4 linked regions of the Schizosaccharomyces pombe genome follow. Changing the gene in region 2 together with the main gene of any one other region gives a genetic interaction. Each region holds a gene or a part of one and is shown on either strand. Other genes may lie near its edges.

What was found.
Region 1: mutations in mug30 (region 2) and mug117 together harm fitness less than expected from each alone (positive genetic interaction), as found in Schizosaccharomyces pombe (one large-scale study listed by BioGRID).
Region 3: mutations in mug30 (region 2) and syp1 together harm fitness more than expected from each alone (negative genetic interaction), as found in Schizosaccharomyces pombe (one large-scale study listed by BioGRID).
Region 4: mutations in mug30 (region 2) and hat1 together harm fitness less than expected from each alone (positive genetic interaction), as found in Schizosaccharomyces pombe (one large-scale study listed by BioGRID).

Annotation. Positions count from the first base shown.
Region 1 is NC_003421.2:1,256,031-1,259,941, forward strand, and holds mug117 (protein mug117), read right to left. Parts: upstream 1,464-3,911; coding exon 903-1,463; 3' UTR 764-902; downstream 1-763. Other genes in the region: cca2 (ATP/CTP tRNA nucleotidyltransferase), read left to right, coding at 1-560, 620-763; SPOM_SPCC645.12C (uncharacterized protein), read right to left, coding at 1,646-2,242; bye1 (transcription elongation regulator), read left to right, coding at 2,604-3,911.
Region 2 is NC_003423.3:3,686,450-3,692,846, reverse strand, and holds mug30 (ubiquitin-protein ligase E3), read right to left. Parts: upstream 4,309-6,397; coding exon 4,075-4,308; exon of another isoform or gene 4,031-4,074; coding exon 1,841-4,030; 3' UTR 1,647-1,840; coding exon of another isoform or gene 999-1,646; 3' UTR 998-998; downstream 1-997. Other genes in the region: abz1 (para-aminobenzoate synthase), read right to left, coding at 1-284; CLRC complex-Argonaute linker protein Stc1, read left to right, coding at 999-1,646; SPOM_SPBP8B7.26 (uncharacterized protein), read right to left, coding at 4,881-5,584, 5,639-5,723; cyclophilin family peptidyl-prolyl cis-trans isomerase Cyp4, read right to left, coding at 6,248-6,390. UniProt on the Schizosaccharomyces pombe protein: Probable E3 ubiquitin-protein ligase. Has a role in meiosis.
Region 3 is NC_003423.3:3,122,912-3,128,668, forward strand, and holds syp1 (cytoskeletal protein Syp1), read right to left. Parts: upstream 3,811-5,757; 5' UTR 3,791-3,810; coding exon 3,749-3,790; intron 3,708-3,748; coding exon 1,293-3,707; 3' UTR 1,091-1,292; downstream 1-1,090. Other genes in the region: tif306 (translation initiation factor eIF3f), read right to left, coding at 1-895; DNA-directed RNA polymerase I complex large subunit Nuc1, read left to right, coding at 4,988-5,757. UniProt on the Schizosaccharomyces pombe protein: Multi-functional protein that contributes to the endocytic process, but also to events that occur at the neck during cytokinesis.
Region 4 is NC_003424.3:1,027,700-1,032,511, reverse strand, and holds hat1 (histone acetyltransferase Hat1), read right to left. Parts: upstream 2,293-4,812; 5' UTR 2,283-2,292; coding exon 2,225-2,282; exon of another isoform or gene 2,175-2,224; coding exon 2,071-2,174; exon of another isoform or gene 2,010-2,070; coding exon 1,791-2,009; intron 1,702-1,790; coding exon 1,586-1,701; intron 1,515-1,585; coding exon 1,151-1,514; intron 1,095-1,150; coding exon 819-1,094; 3' UTR 571-818; downstream 1-570. Other genes in the region: coronin Crn1, read right to left, coding at 1-153, 202-254, 297-330; ssd2 (succinate-semialdehyde dehydrogenase), read right to left, coding at 2,715-4,196. UniProt on the Schizosaccharomyces pombe protein: Catalytic component of the histone acetylase B (HAT-B) complex. Acetylates 'Lys-12' of histone H4 which is required for telomeric silencing. Has intrinsic substrate specificity that modifies lysine in recognition sequence GXGKXG.

The sequences.
Region 1 (3,911 bases), on a different chromosome or scaffold from region 2:
TAGCACTTCAACTGTTATATTCAACGAACACGTATCAGTTTACGTTCGATACTTTGCCAGCTGAAAAAGAATTTCAAATTCCAAAGGCATTGGAAGCTACCGAGTCTTTATTTCAGAGTCTTGCATTGACGTTTCCTAAACTTATGAAATTAAGTGAAGATGAGAAAATTGGGCTATGGCTATATGTTGCTCTAATTCCATGGTCTAGTCAAACTGTTATGGTTAAGAAAAAACAATTTTATATTCCTGCAATCATCGCAAAAGACAAGTTGAAGCTCAGAAGTACATATGTTAACCAGTTGAATCAGTGCTGCACATTCAATCCGATATTCGATGAATTAGTTAACGATACTTCCACTAAAAATTGCTCATCTATTGGCAGCTTAATACGACAATTGAATAAATCCTGGGAAGTCGTGTTTTTAACATCGGTCATATATAGTTGTTGTAAAACACCGGCAGCATCTGTATCAAATACATTTAGTTCTTATAAATCTCTATATGACTTTATTTATGACAAAAATTTACAAAATGCTTATAACATGAAGCCATTATTAGACGTATGTAATTCTTTTATTTCTGTTAACAATATTGAGCGAATAAGCTAACAATTTTTTAGGGAAAACAGATCATGAAAAATGTGGGAGTTAAGCCTGGCCCGCAGCTGAAAGAGACTATGGATAACATGATTTCCTGGCAATTTAAACACCCTGAAGGAAGTGTCGAAGATTGTGTTGCATACCTTCAATCCCTAAAAATATAAGAAAAGACAATCACTGTTTAGATAACTTAATCGCACAAAAGATTAAAAGAATAAAAGTCACCAGTAATCGTCGTCCTTTTTGGAAATTCGTATTTATGATATTTATGCTTAATTCAGAATGGATCCTTTCCTCTTATTATTACCAATCTCTAACCGGCTCTCGATAATCGTATTCGCTGGTGCTTGGTGTAATTTCGGTACAGTCTGGATAACAGTAGTTCAATTTGACATAGCATCTTGTGTTTTCATTATCATTATTAAAAAAACGAGTTCCACAAGCGGAACATTGCAAATTTAATTGATCAAATTCATCAATGATTTCGTTGCCTGTGCGTGCTGGATAATCACCTTCGCACTCATAAATGGCAGTGCAAGAACTAGCTGTATAAGAAGAATATCCATGGTAGATCAAGGATCTATTATACTTCATGTACGCGTTCGGACACGCACGATTTTCTCCTCGAAGCATAGGGCAAAGAAATGAGCCCTTACAGTTATTAGGATGAACCGAATTATCATATCCAAGCATGTTAAATAAACTTCTTCGATAGTTTGAAGTAATTCGAGAGCCTTTTGCTTCTGGCTCAAAGACAGTACTAAGATCACTTCTAATTGGGACTGCAATGCATATGTAAATGCAGATTCCGTATATGAATAGGAACAAAGTTAATTTCTCTGTTACACAACAAAATTTCCACATTCCTTCCGAAATATTAATATATATTAAATATGCAAAAGTGTTTAAAGCAATGCTTCTTATTTGCAATTATTCTTAATTAATTAATATTTTTCTTTTGGTTAAGGAAAGAATATGTAATATAAACAGTATTCTTTTAGTTGGTGTCAATATTTTTGTTTGTTTTTAAGATCGTAAACAGAGCTTTACAAACCCCAAAGCAAGGTGTCTTCATCTAGTGAAGCATCCGAGTCATTATTAGATAAATTGCTAGATTCTTTAACAGAAAAGTTATTTTTTTTAGTTTCAAACCTTTTTTGTTTCAAACGACGGATAAGATCCCTCGACTCACCCAATTTGCTTTCTTCTTCATAAAGAATATCATAAACTTCTGGTTCTAAATCATTATCTGCAATTTCATTTTCTTCATCCTTTTCGGCCAATAACTGTTGCTGTTGGAGTGTTATTTCTTGTTCAACAGCATTTTCCTCAATAATGCCAATCTCATTTTGAAAATCGTTCCACTCTTCTTCAATTAGTTCTTTATTTTTAGCAATAGATTCATCAAAAAAGTTTTCTGGAAGTGCGGACACCGCTCGTGTATCCTTAGGAGGTTCTGTAGATTGCTTTTCATTAAAATCACTTACTGCCAGCTCACGAGATTGATCACGACCTAAATTTTCAAATGATTTATGATCTCTCGTCTTCTGACGCTTCAGTTCTTGACTAGAGGCTTTCAGACCTCGCTTTTGCCCTAATCGCTCTTGTTTTACTTTCCTCAGTAACTCTCGTGCACTACTCATATTTTTGAAGCTCCTTTTCTAACAATATTCACATTTAATCGTAAAATATTGCATTCGAACTATAAAATAGCATGTATCCTTAGTTTTCGCAGATTTTGCACCTTTGCTATAACAAACTACAACACTGCTGCCACTTGCCAATAACCCATACCTGCCAACACCTTGTTTTTTAGAACTCTTGACGAGCTTTTGTGAGGATATTAAACACTTCAGGAACGACTTTTGTTTAGTTATGCATATATTTTAATCTCCTCAGTTTATTTAGTACGCATTCAATCACTTGTTATTCGAATTGCATGTATTAACCTTGAAGTACAGATGTCATTGATCAAAATACTTTTTATTCCCATAATAACGAAGCATGGTAAGAAAAAGCACTAGAAGGACGGCAAAAGCCTCAGAAAAACCTCCTGAAACTGTTGTTCGGTGTGTTTGTAAATCGCAAGAAGACATTGGCGATACGTGGGTTCAATGTGATGGGTGTGATTGCTGGCAACATGCCAGTTGCGTTGGATTAGCGGATAAGGATATACCTGAAAGCTACTATTGTGAAGTTTGTCATTCGCGAAGCGACGTTTCATCACAAGTACAAAATTCTCCCAATAAGGATGAAGAGCATCAGACAGCTGATTTACTTGCCTCTAATGAAGGGAACGAGAAAAACAATGAAGAAAATAATGTTGTATCTTCTGATTCAAAAGAGGCGATTACTAAAGAGTCAGGCGCTGAACTAGAATCATCCGAGCCTGCTTCGACAAATTCTAATGTTGGAATGACTACTAGGTCTGGTCGACAATCTCCTAGGACTCCTATTGGCTCCACGACACCAAAAAGTTCTCATTCTCCACCTTCAACTCGAAAACGAAGAGGCAGTGTTGGTACGACGGCTACTCATACCAAACGTAGCAAGAATGCACCAAAAACATCTCCTAAGGATGCTTCCAATGAAACTGCAGATCAGGAAAAGGAGCTTAGTTTACACACTTCTATCGATGAAATTCAAAACCCTGTTAGAAAAAGTGTTGCCAAAGCCTGGGTTTCCGTTTTTGAAAAAATCATTGAGAAAGCAAAACTTGAAGGTGTGCAAGGATTAGAAGACCTTAATTCTACATCCTTAGCGCTTCAGCTTGAGCATATTATGTTTATGGTGCTTTCGTATACAACTGATCATTCGTTAACTCCGAACAACAAATATCGAGAGAAGTTTCGTGCTTTACGATTCAACTTGGTTGATGACAAAAACCCGGCATTTCGAGCGCGCGTGTTAAAAAATGAAATTAGTTTTAACGATCTGGTCAACTTATCCAGTGAAGAAATGGCTAATCCTGACTTGAAGAACCTAGCTGAGGAAATTCGTCAACAAAGTACTGAAAACACAGTCATAAAGCAACATTTGATTGCTCCACGAGATCGTTTACTTGATGAAGATAAACTTACACAACAAGATGAACTTGGTATTGCGGAAAACGATGATGCGATGTTTCCCAAACCTCCTGGAGAGCTTGTAGCTCCAATTTCAATTGCAGAAGAAGAGCCCACAATTGATTCCAAAAGTCCTACTTTACCGGAACATAATCCTCTTTCTGAAGACGATACATCTAATGGTGATAAAGCTGCAAAAAGAAAAGGGAGTTTTAACGACACAAAACCGATAGTCAATGTCCCTTCC
Region 2 (6,397 bases):
GCTAATGACTGAAACCCCAAACAAATGCCCATTACTGGGATATTTAATTGCCAAATACGATTCAAAATAGAAGAATATTCGGCAGGATGTCCAGGGCCCGGTCCTACGACAATGGCATCAAATTGAAGTATGTCTTCCCATAAATCAGGACTCATTTTATCCCAATGAACAACAATAACACAGGCATTTTCACTTGCTTTGTAAAGTAAGTCATAAAGGTTAAAAGTGTATGAGTCATAGCAATCAATTAATAAAATTTGTAAACGGTTTGAAATTTCACTCATGATAGATACTAATCAGCTAAAACGACCTTAGATTTACTCAAGAAACATTAATTTTTTAACGATATGATTGAAAAGAGAACTCTGGTATTAAGAGGTTTTAACTTTTACAAAGTAGCAGGAGTAGGAAGTGCGCAAATTAAATTCCAGTTTCCAATTTGTTTAGAAGCTTCTGACATTCTTCGGGATTTTACAAATCATACAATTCCATTTAAGGTAGGAAAAGTGTAGGCTATCTAAAGTTTTATTATTCCGTTTATTTTCAAAGAATAATTCGCAATCAAAAACTTGAAGGCGAGAATAATAGAATGGGAAGCAGTATTTATTTTGAAAACAACCCTTTGAATATGTGCAATTTTCATTGTCAATAGAACATGAAGCAATCAACAAATATATGTATTCTTTTTTGCTTTAATATCATTGATTCACCTATTAATCGAACCGAACGGTAGTAAATTTTATATTAATGCATTTACAGCCTGATCAGCGTAAAGATCTCAATGACAATTGATAGGACGGCTTGTATTACTGTTTTTTTTTTCTAAATCCTGATTAAGCCTGTATGTTTCTTCTATTTGGTTGTCAAGGCTATCACATTTTGTTCATTAAAGGTATTGTCTACTTAATGCTTCTAACGTCAGCAGCTAATTAAAATTATTTCAGTACATATATTCATTTATAAGAGTATTGTTACCATATTAATAATAATAAAAAAATATGGATTTTAAGAGTCGAAAATATAAAATTAAAAAGCATCCGAAGGATTGCAAACTACATGCTAAAAAATACCGGGGTACATTGAATTCAAAAGGGAAAAATGATAATGATTGTTTAATTATGTGTATGAGATGCAGAAAGGTTAAAGGGATAGACTCTTACAGCAAAACTCAATGGAGCAAAACGTTTACATTTGTTCGTGGGAGAACGGTTAGCGTTTCAGACCCAAAAGTGATATGTCGTACCTGCCAGCCCAAACAGCATGATTCAATTTGGTGTACCGCTTGTCAACAAACTAAGGGCATTAATGAATTCTCTAAGGCACAAAGACATGTCCTGGATCCACGATGTCAGATATGTGTACATTCACAAAGGAACGACGGTGATGATAATTTGGAATCTGATAAGTTCGTTGATCCTTTCATAGGTGATGATTCTGACTTAGACGATGATATCTACATTCATGATAAACAAACCATAAACTCAGAATACGCTGACGATGTTTCTGATAATACTGACGAAGAGCGAACTGAAAGCAAGGGGCAACAGGAAAGCAATTCAGCTGAAGAATATGATGATGATGACTCTGATGAAGACAGGATGGAAGAGATATTTCAGCAATTCAAAAAAGAAAAACAAATTGTATAGAGACACGTTTTATATTCATCCTTATTTGAATTATGTAAAGATTTGCTTACGATCCCATTTTATATGATAAATTATAAAGGTCCATTAGTGCTAATGTAGACCTTAAAATATGTTGAATTTAATTTAGATCTTAAATAAATAGATATATGTATATAGTAGTAAAAGGTAAGGAATTGCGAACCCTGATGTAAACACTAGCGTATATTGAACCCATTAGTTTCAAGCAACGCCGTGTCTAATTTTTTTTTTAACTTTTCCCTACTGGAGTATTCCCAAATACATAAGTGATTGAAGCAAGTATGAGAGATAGGAAGTTGATCACTGTCAGGTCCGAGAACTGAGATTCTTAATTGAAAATTATGTGCCCCAGTAGCGGGAATGCGATCGCTTCCTGTGACGAAAATGAGAAAAAGTTTTTGCATTTTTAGCGAATAGTGTGATATCAAATCCCAAAACCAAAGTATTATTTTTCTTTTTGATACGAAAGAGTGGCAGAGATATTTAGATGCAGTCATACTTGGTTCACTTTCAGATATAGAATTTGAAATCGCATTTTGGTCATAAAAATCATAAACGCAGACATTTTTGAGTAGCTCCCAGTCAATAACTTCTTCACTTCCTCTGATCAACTTGCTGATTTCATTGTCTTGAAACAACGATATGGCGTTACCTCCACATACTTTCATAAAGCCATCGAAAAAAGCAGAAAATTGTTTTTTTACAGTAGTATTTAAGAGATAATCTACATACCTCAAAACATATTCTTTTCTGTTCTCATTATCAACACTCAATTCAGAGCCTCCTTCTTTCAACTCAACAGTGCGAAAGCCCTCGACAGCTTTGAGATTAATTGTAAAATTAAGACCGTAAGTATTTTTTACATCTCCTTCAAATAGTAAAAGCTCTTTTAATCCTCGATATAGACTAGGCTGAAAATCATCCAAGTCATTGAAACTTAGAGGTAACTGTAAAAGTTTTTTATAGAAAGCTCTGGGCATCTGTACATCCAAATTTATTGAATTGTGGATTGCAATTCCCATCAATATACCTGACATATGATAGTAATCAATTTCTTTCGACCTGTGTGAATAATTAAACCATAGATAATTTGAAGACTCTTCACAGTTCACAAATAATCCAAACTCAGGGCTAAAAACTTTCCTCGTTAAAAGCAGCAACCATTCTCTCTTTAATCCTCCTGCATCGATTCCTTCTTCACCTAAAAACTCAACTTTTAATGCCTTTCTAAAATCTTTATTTCTGTCATTAATTTGCCTTAGGCTGTCTTCTAACAGTCGATCTCGCCGAACACGAATCATCAAATAAGGTTCAACGTTCATTTTGGAAAGAATTGAAGAGAAAAATGCTTCTCTTGCTTTAATCTCCATTTTTCTCCGAGCATCAAGCTGAAGAATACTAATTTTAGCACCCATTGAAAGAAGAAAAGGATACTGGCAAAAACAAAAGCAATTGATTTTTTGCTCCCATAACTCAAAGTCGTGATAAAGATTTATGAAATCAGCCATTATGCAGTAAAATGAAGATCTGTCTATCAGTCTCATTTGCGAATTAGCAGAGTATAATAAGGCCATAGTAATAGCTGCTGACTTAATTTGCCAGTCATTATTATAGTAGTGCTTCCTTTTGTTTCTACTGTAAGTTTCCATTAATCGTTGACCAATAAACTTGTTTATGAGATCGACTTTTCTTCGAAAAAACTTAGGATTGTTGTAAGGTTGTTTTTTAAAACAAGAAATAAAAAAATGATGTGTCTTCTCGTTCAAGTTAGATAAAACTCCCAAAATCCTCTTCAAAATGCTGCTACTCTTGTTCACTATATTCTTTGATTTTGAGTTCAACAAAGGATTTTCCAAAAGAATGAGAAGATATTGATAATCCGCTGGATCATGACAATATAGCATGGGTCTCCGAAGTAAACTCTCGATAGCTCTTAACAACTCATTTGTTATTAAAATGTCTAAATTTGTAATATCATGGTACAATTGGTAAATGAGCTTATAATTTAGTCCGGAAGATTGGATTGAACAACCATTTTTAACCGAGAACAGTTTATTCAATATCGGTGGACTTCCAAATACTAAGGATATAAGTTCTCGTAATGGTAAGCCTGCAGCCACAATAGCTTGAACGTTGCCAGTTCGCTGCTTAGCAAGTTGCAAGGCACTTCGTGTTTGATGAATTGTTTCAACAAAATGTTCAACTGAGATAAATTGTGATCCATCGGTTGAAGCTTTTGTCTTTATTTGGGAGCCACTTAAACAAAAATAAACATCGTTCACAGTCATACATAATGAACAACGAAAGCACATAGCTTGTGCAGGGTAGCGCAGGACGCTATTACAACAAATGCAGGGCCTGATCACCTATAATTTTGTTAATAAATTAGCCAAACAATTAGCCTAAATACCAATTTCTCTGAATTCCCGTAACTATCATTAGAAATTGTCTCATGAAACGACTGTCGAAGTCGAAGTGGATTTTCACCCATACGTTGACAAACTAACTCTCTTAAGCGACGTGATATTTTTGAATTTGTATTATTGTCAAGTTCTGAGCGGCTAGAAAAACTAGAGCCATGAAGTGCTGGGAGCGTTCTACGGTTTCCAGAAGACACATTGGCTATTTCAATAGGGCGACTCATATAAGCAATTCACCTTCTAAGAAAGATCTATATTTCGCTCTACAGATAAACAATTGGGACTAACCCAAAACAAAAAGACAAATCTGTAAAAGTATGGTACATATCTAGGCCATACTACACTATACATATATTGGTATAGTTATTTCTTAAATATTACGATATTCAACAGGTTCTCATGGCGTAGTCATTCTAACATTCTTTCGTCAAAAGATCATCACAGTTGAACCAATTTTCTAAGATCTTTGAAGGTGAATACTGTTAAAACAGATAAGTTCTTTACTCTTCTTGTATAATATGTATGTCATTAAATGCAGAAGTAAATATTATGACATTTACAAAGAAAATTACCATGTCGACTTCGCAGTACCTTATTTAAGATTTTTGAACGTTCCTACATTGATGATACCTTTCATTTTAAATTGTCAAATTACCTAGTATGTACGACTATTCGTAGGAAAGTTGATTTAAGAAGATTATGATTTAAACATTGAATAACATCTAGTATGCTAAATAGGCCATCCTAGGTAATAATGGTGTAGTAAGAGAAAGAAAATAGAAAGCAAAAATTTGGTTTATAGGTTGGGTCGAGTATTCCTTTGAACCGGAGGTGGAACAGAAGTTGGCGAGCTTACACCGGACGAATTACTAGAAGTTCGGGCAGCAAGTCTTCTTGGCTTTGGAGGTGCAGGTGGAGGTGGTTTCTTAACAGGCGACGCTGTAGAAGCAGCAGTCGCCGCGGGAACAGATCCAGATGCATATGAACTGTTTTGAGAAACCCTTCGGGGAGGAGGAACCGGCAAGGGTGCATTTGCAGAAGCTGTAGGGAGAGGAGAAGAGGCAGTATAATTAGCGTTTGACTGATAAGTTTGGGAATAAGAACCAGAAGAGCTGTAGGAGGGAGGTGGGGGCATCTGAGACATTACATTAGGACGAACAGGAGGTGGTGGGACTTGTTCTTGATTTAAGACGGACGGACGACTCCCTGGTCGACTAGGAAGTGAAGGAGTCCCTCTTGAAGGAAGAGCGGGTTCCTTGGGGGGCTGTGAAGGTTGGGAATAAGAAGGCTGCGAATAAGAGGGTTTCGAATAATCTTGATTTCCTACAGCCGGGCTAGCCGTTCTAGGTGTACTTCCAGTACTACTACCACCGGCACGCAACTGTGAAGCATGTTTTGGAGGAGGAGGCAATTTTGTAACATCGACATATTTTATTGATAAACGAGGCCCGGTTCCATGAACGGATCTAATATCATACATAGCATCTTCGCCATGTTCACCTATAAATCCCATTTTGTTAGTAATGTCTCAAAAAGCAAAGGAAATATGCTTACCTGGTAATTTCGATGTAATCTTATTCTGGAAGCGGTTCGCAGAATCCGACATCGAATGCAGTGATTTTTTTGTTGAGTCAAACATTACGATTAGTTTGAAATTGATTTCTCACAATTGACGCAAAAACCGATTTTACCCAAATGTTTGCGGTGGACAGCTTCCGACTCTCGAAATTCCTTAAGTCCGCTTTTCTAAGAGCCCATAGGGTAAACAACTACACAACGTGCTAGTAATATCAGCCAGCTGATAGGAAAAAATAATGTCTTTGAGTTCTTTTTGATAAAACATAACAAAATAGTAAGCAGCTAATAAGCTTCGCGTTTGTTGTCAATACTTACTATCAGAATTGCAGCATTGCTATTACGCTTGCTAAATTGGATAATATACGTAGAGTTCTATATTCATTCAATTGAAAACTTGTTAAAATCGCATTCTTTATGCGTATATTAGTTATACAACTATGGCTGTCAGAAAATGCAAACAAACTACCACAAGAAGTGATCCTTCCAATGATAAACGTTTATGTTAACAGAATGTAAAATCATTGCTTTTCAAGTAAATCTTATAAACACTAGATGTTGATGACTTTCATAAATAGAAAGTAGGGATTACAATTCATCTGTTCCGTCATCTTCAACATTTTCTTGAGACAACTGCCCAGATTTGATAATTTTTACATCTTCAAGAGGCTTATCACGGTTGTCAGTCTCAGCTTTGGAAATTTTCTTGACAATATCGTAACCAGAAAGGACTGATAA
Region 3 (5,757 bases), 560 kb from region 2:
TAAGACGGGAAGCAATATCCACTTGAGTACGTAAGGTATTTGCGAGATAAACTACAACCAAAACATCTTGAAGATGTGATGAAAAAATTTTTTCAAAATCTTGGCCTTCTACGCAAGGAATTAAACTAAAGCACTTCATCAAATATCTACCGACAGCAACATTAGCAGGCGAAGAACCATCAATTACGTTTTGCACATAATCGGAAACTCTTTCAATCATAGATAAAAGCTCCAAGGTTGATCTTCGAAGTTGCTGGAGATCTGTGAATAGGCTAGCAAGTCTAGATGGGTCATTCTTAGGAGCAGCTACAGCTTTCAAACCAGAACGGACTGCCTCGTCATCACGAATGGTAAAAGGGGTAGGGACGAATGCACAGCTGTCAGCAAGGCGCTCTGTAATACCTACTGGTGAAGAAACGTAAGTCTTGATGGCAAGGGGACTGCTAACATCTGTGTTGACAGTAAGGTGAACACAGGGATGAGGATACGTTCCTAGTGGAGCAGTTCCGGGTTCAGCAGGAGAAGCATATAAATTTTGAATCAGTGCACTGAAAGCATCTAAATCAGGAGAAGTAGCATACCAACCAACGACAACTTCACGAGGGTTAGCCTTGAGGTGTAAATGGTACATCGCACGATGATATTCCATTTCAACTTCTACCTGCTCACTGCTCTCATTATGAGGAACTGCAAAACAACTTTTAATCTCAATTTCTCGGCCATCTTCAGAACGTGTTCCCAAAAGTGTACCGATAACACGTTGATTATTTTCACTTTTCCGGGTTGAATGGTCAAGGATAGAAAAAAGCACTGCTGGTTCAATGACAATGTTCAAAGGACTTGACCTGGAAGACGGTTTTGTGAGATGGAGTACGTGCTTAGTCCCCAAAGCCATTTTTTAAAATTTTCACGTTGTTGGCTACTCTCAGGTAGGTAGATCTGGTATTGTTCCCCAATCAATAATAATTTTACTGTACTAGTTTACAGTCTCATAGAATTCGTTAAATTGAAGACACTATTTTTCGCCTAACTTCTAAGGTTTACCATTTAAGAAAGTGTATTTTCAGTTGCGTTGAATAATCTAAAAAATCTCCTTAACAATGTCTCATTTGTACGTACAATAATGAGAAACTCTTTATTCAAAATTCTATAACTATTTACATTTGTACATTCTCTGGTTAAAAATCATTTATATATATATACAATGTTCAAAAAATTCGGTTAGCAAAAAAGTGTAAACATAAAACCCAAAAAAGCAGTTTGCTTTTTCTTGACTAATAATGAACAGTAATTTAACTCATATCAGCAAAAACAGAGCACTCACGAACATGAATACCATAGGAAGTAGGAACCTTCGTTTCTTCATAAGCACTTTCTAGCTGAGAACCTCCACTAGAAGAAGTAGTATCAAACATATCTGGTTTCAAAAACAATTTGGTGAGACCAGGGTTATTAGAGGAATCAACCATGCGAATACGGAACTCGATAACTGGCTTTCTAATAGCAGCACTAGGACTAATCGCAAACTTGGCTAAAATTTTAAATCCAGACGAAGATATATTAATGTTCGAAAGATGTAGCTTAAGTTTACTAGTTTTCCTGCTAAATTCTCCGGCCGGAGAACTTTGACAGCTTTTTACAAGGACATTTTCCCCCAAGTAAACGATGATAACAAGTTTTTCAATATGAAGAGATGAGCCTAAGTTCCTCCACACAGGATTAGGCTTCACAAATGCAATCATACTACTACTGCTTTCATCATGCTTCCATTTCTGAACAACTGTCAATGGAATGCAACTAGCACCGTTAATACTATCAAGATGTAGATTAAAATCAGTGACTTTGATTGGTGAGAGAAGTAGCTCTGGTATTAAAGAAAGTGTGTTTTCTGAGGGTCCATATTTTACTGCATGGTCATTTAAATGAGTAAAAGACATAGGAAATTCAGACGCAACGCGAACACCCATTTCAGGAGGAGGGGTATTAAAATCCGAGGTATATTTCATGAATATATGACCGGAACAGGAAGGATGAAGAAGGCCATCTTCAGATAATTCACCAGAATACTTTTCGACGATTGAAGCAGAAAGCCCGGAAGAATTTGGGAACTCAGGGTGCCATGTTGCAGTCGAGTCTGGTCCCGATTGTAATGATAAAGTAGACAAATTGGGCAAGCTACCGAGGTTTGATTCCATATAGTCAGACGATGCTGTAGCATAACGATCCATTGTCCCAGCACGACGGGTCCTTCTTGATATAGTGGGATTCTTTCGTAAAGTATTTGCTACCCTTTCAATTGCAGCATTGCTATCCTCGTTTTCAGTAGGCGCAGGGGAAGCCACCGCTGATGTGGGAGACGTTGTTGTTGATCGTGATTGCATGTTGTTAAAGTTCCCACCAAAATCATTGCCATGCATCATGATAGGATTCGAATGTGATGCATTCTCTCTATCGATCGATGAAGGGGTATTTCTTGAGGCTTCAGAGTGCACAGAATTGGGTTTATTAAAGGGGGAAGCCTTGGAGGAAATCTTAGGCGTAACCGTTTCTGCTTGAACATTAGGCTGCACAGGTAGCGGAGCCTCCAAAAAGGATGAGCGAACATTGTTTGCACGAATAGTGGCATCGTTGTCCTCGCCCTCGTCGGAAGTTTCATTAAAGTTTTGATAAGACGAAGCGTTATTATTAGTAGAGGGATGATCCCGAATTTGTGAAGAATGATTGGAATCATAATGTCTTCGTTCGATTGAACTATCATCTATATTCGATGGGTGTTCTTCAGCAGACGAAATACTCGAAGCTTTGGAGTTCTTATTAAAAAAAGCAGTTAATTTATTAGGGCGACCATTAGATTTATGCGAAGGCTTCTTATCCTTTTTAGGCATTATGGTTTTCCGACGAAACAACGTGGACATTTTGTTCTTCAATTTACCACCAGATTCATTTTCTCCATGACTCTTTTCCTCTTTAGATTTTCCATTGTTTATGTGAAAGCCCGATGACTTAGATGGTTTATTAGCAGATGCGGAAGACATAACTTTCGATGTGGAGTTCATGAATTGACGGATTTCACCTTCAATAGGTAGATCAGAATAAACTGCCATAGATTTAGAAAAAAATTCTTGCTGTTTAAGAGCCGTATCAGTTTCCAAACTTGCAATTGTCAGGTAAACTTGTTTCAATATAAGGAGGCGTTCCTCGTCAACAATTTGCAATTTTTCAAACGCTAAAGGAGCATCGGAATCCCAGGTTGCACGAGAAGCAGTGAGATCATTCTGACTCTTAGTATCCGCATCACGGCCTTTTTTTTTTAATCCCTTCAGACCAGGTACAGAAGACGATGCCATCTCCTCTGCAACTGTTGATAACCGCTCTGCTAAACGTCTAAGCGTAGCCGTTTGTGGTGAAGAAGTATAATAATCTATCAAAGGTTTATAAACTTGCGAAGCTATTTGTCCAATGATTTGACTGTGATATCTTGAAATTTCAAGGGTTTCTCCCTCGAGCTGTTTCCAAGCATAATTAAAAGCAAACGATGAATTGTTTTTTTCTTGCATGTTCATTGCAAGCTTATGTAATTGATCTGAGTATTGCCGTTCAATATCCATTCGCTCACGAATCCACTGCGAAAGCATGTCGTTGTCTAGGCGAACTTGCTCTAGGCGCTGTCGAAAGATCGACATGCTGTCGTTTGGAGAGTAGTTTGACTATTTGTTAATAAGAAGGAAATAGCTAAAATAAAGCTTACCAAAAACGCATCTACATACTCCGTTTTCGTCAATGATTCCATGGCGTGGTGGTGGTTAGTGTAGGGGGAATGCGACTCGATACATGACACTTTATTCCAAAATTGCAAAACAAATTGTTTATGGAGGATGATTAGTATTGCTATTAGATGGCTGTTATGAAGACATAAGAAAATATTTTTAATAAGGCAAAATTTTCATTTCTACATACATCAATATCGATGTTTCCGAAATATGCATAAATAAATTAATCGATTATTAACTAGTTAGCTGCTCAATACTATGGATTAGTCTCAAAAATATTTCAATTGAAAAGTGACCCAATATACCAACACATATTCGAACCGCTTAACGATTTCTCAAAAAACACAAGTTTTTGAATAAAAACATATAGGTAGTGAAATCTATTGAAACGTTCAATTTTTTTAAGCCTTCAACATACGCTAATTTCAAATCTGAGTTCTCACTACTATTATCGCACCTTTTTCTATTCTTTCGAAAACATACGTTTGAGCAGAGAAAAAGTCAGTAACAACTTCCATAGTATAAAAAAGAAGGAGATATGTTCAAAAATCAACAAAAAATATGAATAATTGTTCGTAAACCCATATTGTTACCATAGATGAATTTTACTAACTAGTGCTTATAAACGAAAGTTTTCTTTCGCTACTTAAGGTAAGTAAGCAGAAAACATTGAGAATGGCTTTAATTCAATTAAATTTAAAAATGAAGAGAGACCAAGATCAGAAATCCTAACACATGTTAGACTATTAAGGCACTTTATCTGAAGTGAAGTCTAATAAAATGTAAGCAACGAAAGTCAGTTGATTGATACCAACATTCCACTCGCATACAGTACGAATTCTCTAAATAACTCCAGTTTATTTTTATTACGACAATGAAACCATAATGCCATGGTTTAAGTGGTCAATATGTTAACCGTGTAACAATGAAAGTACATCGTAACGTGTTAGCATCAATAATCCGGTTTTTTCGGTTTGTTTATAAATTTACCGATGCGCTAAAATATCTAATTTGTAGTTTACCAAAAAATTTTACGTGTGTTATTGTATATAACGCGCTGTAAAATAAGTAATGAAGCTTCACAGCTATGCACATTGTAACGCATTTCACCGGACTTTAGCAAATTACAGTCTAAGGAAATTTTCTTTTCATACAGAACCAAATAGGTCTGTGGGCGGATTGCATGTGCCGGTTGTATACAAAAGCAAAATAGTACAATGAATATTGCACAGCCAGTCTCTTCGGAGATTAAAAGTGTGAAGTTTGGGATTTACGATGTTGACGATGTCGAAAAAATATCCGTCAAACAAATCGTAAATCCCGTTTTGCTTGACAATTTAAATCACCCTACTAACGGCGGATTATATGACCTTGCTTTGGGTCCATATCTAAAAAATTCTGTTTGCGCTACATGTCATTTGGATGAAAGATACTGCCCTGGTCATTTTGGTCATATAGTACTTCCTATTCCTGCATATCACCCTCTATTTTTTTCTCAAATGTACAATTTATTACGTTCAACTTGCTTGTACTGCCATCATTTCAAGCTTTCAAAAGTCAAGGTTCATCTTTTCTTTTGTAGACTCAAGTTGCTTGATTATGGTCTTTTAAATGAGTCAGAGATGGTGGAGAATGTCAGTCTTACTGAGGCAATCATAAAGAATTCTAACGGCACTCCACTTGAAGATGGAAGTGACAGCGAGGACAGTGGTCTTGGACACGATGATATTGCTAAAGATGCTGCAACACTTATGCGCATTCGCGATGAATTCGTTGCTAAGTCTATTGCTGACTCACGCCAGAACGCTCATATCGATGCTCAGTTGACTACACTTCTTTTACACGAGAGGAAAAAAGTTGTGCGTGCCTTCTACCATGCCATTTCATCTCGCAAACAATGTGATAATTGCCAGTCTTTTTCCCCTAACTTTAGGAAAGAAGGCTTTGCTAAAATATTCGAGATTCCATTGAGTGGAAAAAATCTCCA
Region 4 (4,812 bases), on a different chromosome or scaffold from region 2:
ATGGCCCCGAAACAAATTAACTTGATCGGGAAGCTTTCCTCTTTCGTTTAAAGGGATAACTGCCAATGCACCTCCAGCTCCCGCATTCCAATTAACACTGAGGTAAAAGGGGTTCACACTCAATAGGTTAGAATCCCATGCATTATTGCTAAGCTATTGAAGACAATTAGTAAATTTCAAACCATTAAAGTATCGACCAACCTTTATGTTGTCGTAGCAAAGTTCTTTTTTGCAGGTTTGTCCAAAGATATGTCCTAACGTCAGTTAATAATTATTTACTCAAAAAGCATGCGTACTATATTTACTAGCTCTCACAAATCTTCCACTCATTTTTGAAAAAGAATAATTCCTTTATAAGATCGAATGAGAATTTGCTAATTGAGCTAACTTTATCCGGGGTGTCAGGTAATGAACAAAGTCGGGATCGGAATAGGAAGGAGGACGGATGAGAATGACAAGCACCTAAAGTTGTACTGGTCGTTGAAAATAACCAATATTATTGATAGTAGATATTAAAATATTTAAATTTTGGAAAAAGCAGTTCATTATGAGGAATTGTTTGAATTTTTATAAGGTGCCTTTATAGATTTTATTAAACTAGATATCACACTAAATTTGCAAAATATATACAAAATTTATATTATTAAAATGATCACTGTTTCAAATGTCTTTAATCATTTCAAGCGAAAGCTTTCAAAAGCAAATTATATAAAAAGTAATTGCGTCCAATAGTGTAATTTAGTCGATTCTCATAACTTTTTATGCTAATATGCCTTCAATATTCTCAAAGTATTTCAGATCTCTAAAAGTGTTTTCATTTAGGAAGAAGATTGAGCAAGTTTTTGGCGTTTTCGAGGCGAATCTTCCTTAAGCTTGGGTAGCTTTTTGACAATCTGTTTATACTCATCAAACTGATTTTCATAGGCGTTATGAATTTTTTCAATACGTTCGGACTTATCCAACTGTAGCAACACATCAAGATTTTGACGAAAAATCCTTTCCTTTATTCCTAGTCTAACAGATTTCCGCTCCAATAATGAAAGCTTTTTTAGTTTCGTTGTAAATGCTAATTCACAACAGCGTGAGAATTGACGCTAAAAAAAGACAATTAGTAAGTTGCATTGCATGGTAAATTTAGCAAATTACGAACCTGGGTTAACTTTGTTTCAGCTATTTTCGAGTTTATCCACTGCCTAGAAAGAGAGGGATGAAAGTCAGGTTCTGAAAATATTCCCATTGATAATAATCTTTTATAGTCGCAATGGTCTCTAAGGCTATCAAACGCTTCCGATGCATCCTCAACTGTGAAGTCTAAAATTTTAGGATTTTTCAAAAAGGTACTAACAATAGCATTGTACAATTGCGAACCGTGTCCTTGATGTTGAAAAGGGGGTAAAATCACGAATTGTGAGATACGAGCTCGAATACCATCGTGAATTAATTTGTCCCATTTATAATATTTGTATACAGTACAATAACCACGTAAGCAATAATCATCTTCAGTAGTCTCGTAACTTATTTTTGTTAATAAAACCTCGATAAAAAGGTAAAAGGAAAGTAGACGCGTAGAAAATAACAAACTTACAGTAAATATACCATCCATCTTGGATCATTAAGGTCAATAAAAGAGCCCCCTTCAATAAAAAATAAGGAAAATATTTGCAAATGCTGCATAATCTCACTAGCTTCAAGAACCGTTGCCTATTAATACATTACGATTATTAGCCAAAGAACATATAGGGATATTCAATAATTGAATACTTCTCCAATTGAAAGGTAATCGAACATACTTGTAAAATCTTGAATGTTTTTCCATTAAAGGAATAGTTATGAATACTATTTGCCGAATGAACGTCAAATGAGTTTCCTTCAACCTTAATGGAACGATCTTTTAGATAAGTGTTTAATGTTCCTTCAATATCAGTTGGTTCCACTCCTGAATCTGGTGCTAGGCGCTCTGAATATGAGATTTCCAGTTTTGGGACCATCAATGGGCATTCATAGGTTATCTAATAACTGTTACTATTTGCAATCAAATTTCATGACTAAAACTTGCTGATTTAATCTTACAGTGACATTTAGATCTTTATATCCATAAATAACCTCAGCATCTCCAAATATTGCATATGTATTGCTAGGATGGTATTGACAATCTTTTTCATGCTTTTCGTTTACTGACAGGTGTTAACACAAGGTAAAAACATTATAATTTAACATAGCATACCTTGTACAATTTCTATGCATTCATTGGCATTATGTACCCATTCATCAACAGCACTCATCACTGCATACGGAAAATTGAATACCTGACCCTATTTCAAGTCAAACAACAAAAAATACATGTGTCTAGTTGGAAGTAACAAACTACAAGGCGACGCAAAATTTCACGTGCTACACCTGTTATTATTAAAAAATATTTACTATTATATAGATTTCTAGCTCCAGTATTGCCAATTTTAGAACCTACAATTCTTTATAACTTTTCAGATTGCTCAGAACAATAACTACAAGTATAGATTTTCTGACACAACAATCCATTCTTCATCGATGACCCACGATGTTCAGGTATTAAATTTTTTTGATATCATTAAACTAAAATACGATTTGTATCGCAAACATGTAAAACAGTCATAACATCAGGATTTTTTAGTCATTAACCAAAAGAGGACATCATTGCTTGTTCAATAATATGCAGCTTTCTAAAGCGAAAATCCTTAAAGAGTCTTGAGATTGATTTCCTTAACCACCATAAATTCTTGAACGCCCAAACGACCGGCTTCCTTGCCAAAACCGCTCTGTTTGATGCCGCCAAAGGAAATAAATGGTTCGTCAACCATTTCGATATTGGCACCTACAAGACCCACCTCTAGTTCTTTGGCAACGTGGATCATTGTGGACAAGTTATTGGTAAAGACGTAACCGGCCAAGCCAACATCACTGTCGTTAGCCCATTCGATCACCTCTTCGGTGTCGTCGAACTTGAAGACAGAGGCGAGTGGGCCGAATGTTTCCTCGCTAGCAACCAACATGTCTTGAGTTACACCGGAGAGCACGGTTGGTTCAAAAAAATAACCTTTGCTTGAGGAAATCTCCTTTCCACCAACAGTGATTTTGGCACCCTTTGAAACAGCATCTTCAATGTGCTTGCTGACCTTTTTGCATCCATCTTGAGAAATCAAAGGGCCAACAGCAGAAGAAGAGTCAAATCCATCTCCTACTTTAATGGTCTTGACTTTTTCGGTAAGCTTGCTGACGAATTCGTCGTAAACATTCTTGTGAACGTAAACTCTGTTAGGGCAGACACAAACTTGACCACAAGAGTTAAACTTGATAGTGCAGAAAGATTCGACAGCCTGATCAATGGGGAAGTCAGGGAATACAATGAAAGGGGCATTACCTCCTAACTCCATTGAAACCTTCTTGATTGTGCTGGCACTTTGTCCCATAAGAATTTTACCGACATTAGTACTACCAGTGAAGGAAACCTTACGAACGATAGGGTTGGTAGTCAGTTCTTTACCATGAGCAGATGCATCAGAAGAAGTGATCACATTTAAGACACCGTCAGGGAAACCGGCCTCTTGCGCCAACCTGACTAAACCTAAGCAAACGTAGGGAGTGCGGAAAGCAGGCAAGAAAATAGCGGTACAACCAGCAGCCAAAGCGGCACCACCTTTACGAGCAATCATGGCGGCGGGGAAGTTCCAAGGAGTAATCAAGGCACTGACACCAACTGGCTGTTTGATGGAGATGAGAAAGTTTTGACTTTGTAAGCTGGAAGGAGCTACATCGCCAAAGGTACGAACGGCTTCAGCAGCATACCATTTAAGATATCCGCTACATGTGGTGACCTCCATCTCAGCTTGGCTCAAAGGCTTGCCGTTTTCTAAGGTAAGCATCTTGACCAAGTCGTCTTTGTTCTCCATAATAAGCTCTGCCCAGCGTTCCAATAACTGACTACGTTGGACATGAGTAAAATTTTTATAAGTTTTGAAGGCCTCGTTAGCGGCACTGATGGCTTTTTTTGTTTCCTCTACTGAGACATCGGCCACTTTACCGATTATTTCACCAGTAGCTGGGTTATCAACCTCAAAAGTTTTGTTGTTAGGAGAAGAAATCCATTTTCCTTGAACAAAAGATTGAGCATGAGACTTATCAAAGCCAAAGAGCTCAGGGCGTTTGAATTGAGGGGCCATTTTTGAAGAGTATTATACAAAAAAGTGGGAAGGAGTAAATGTTAAAAACTATATGAAACGAAGTTATCGATAGAAATGTTATTATTATTTATAATAATAACAAATAATAGCGTAAGCAGCAACAGATCTTTCGTGGAAAAAAGAAGAATGCAGGTTTTTTTAGTGTTTTCAAATTAAGCTGCAGATTTCTTTTTTTTAATGTAGTGTAAACATCGAGAGAAACGATGCATATTTATAATTTTTCAACAAGACATTTAATGATCAAACCATAACGTATGCATCTTGGTTTTCCGTACTAGATTTACGTCTCAACATCATGTTCTTGGTGTATGCAAACATTTCCCCTGGAAAAAAAGAAAGGCGTATTGAATTTGCGTAAATATCGGCAGACTAACTTATAAATCATAGTGTCTGGTTTGTTAGCTTACGGCTCCCGTCTTCTTCAATGATGTATATAGCGAACTTGGTGGAATTGCATTTTTTACATCATATAATTGAGTGCCACCATATGTGAATATGTACCGACTTTACTATACTGAATGGCAGTAATATAAGCTACAGCTACTGTGAATGAGTATGAAAAGAACAGTGGGTAAAATCGCTTCGCTTTTCATAT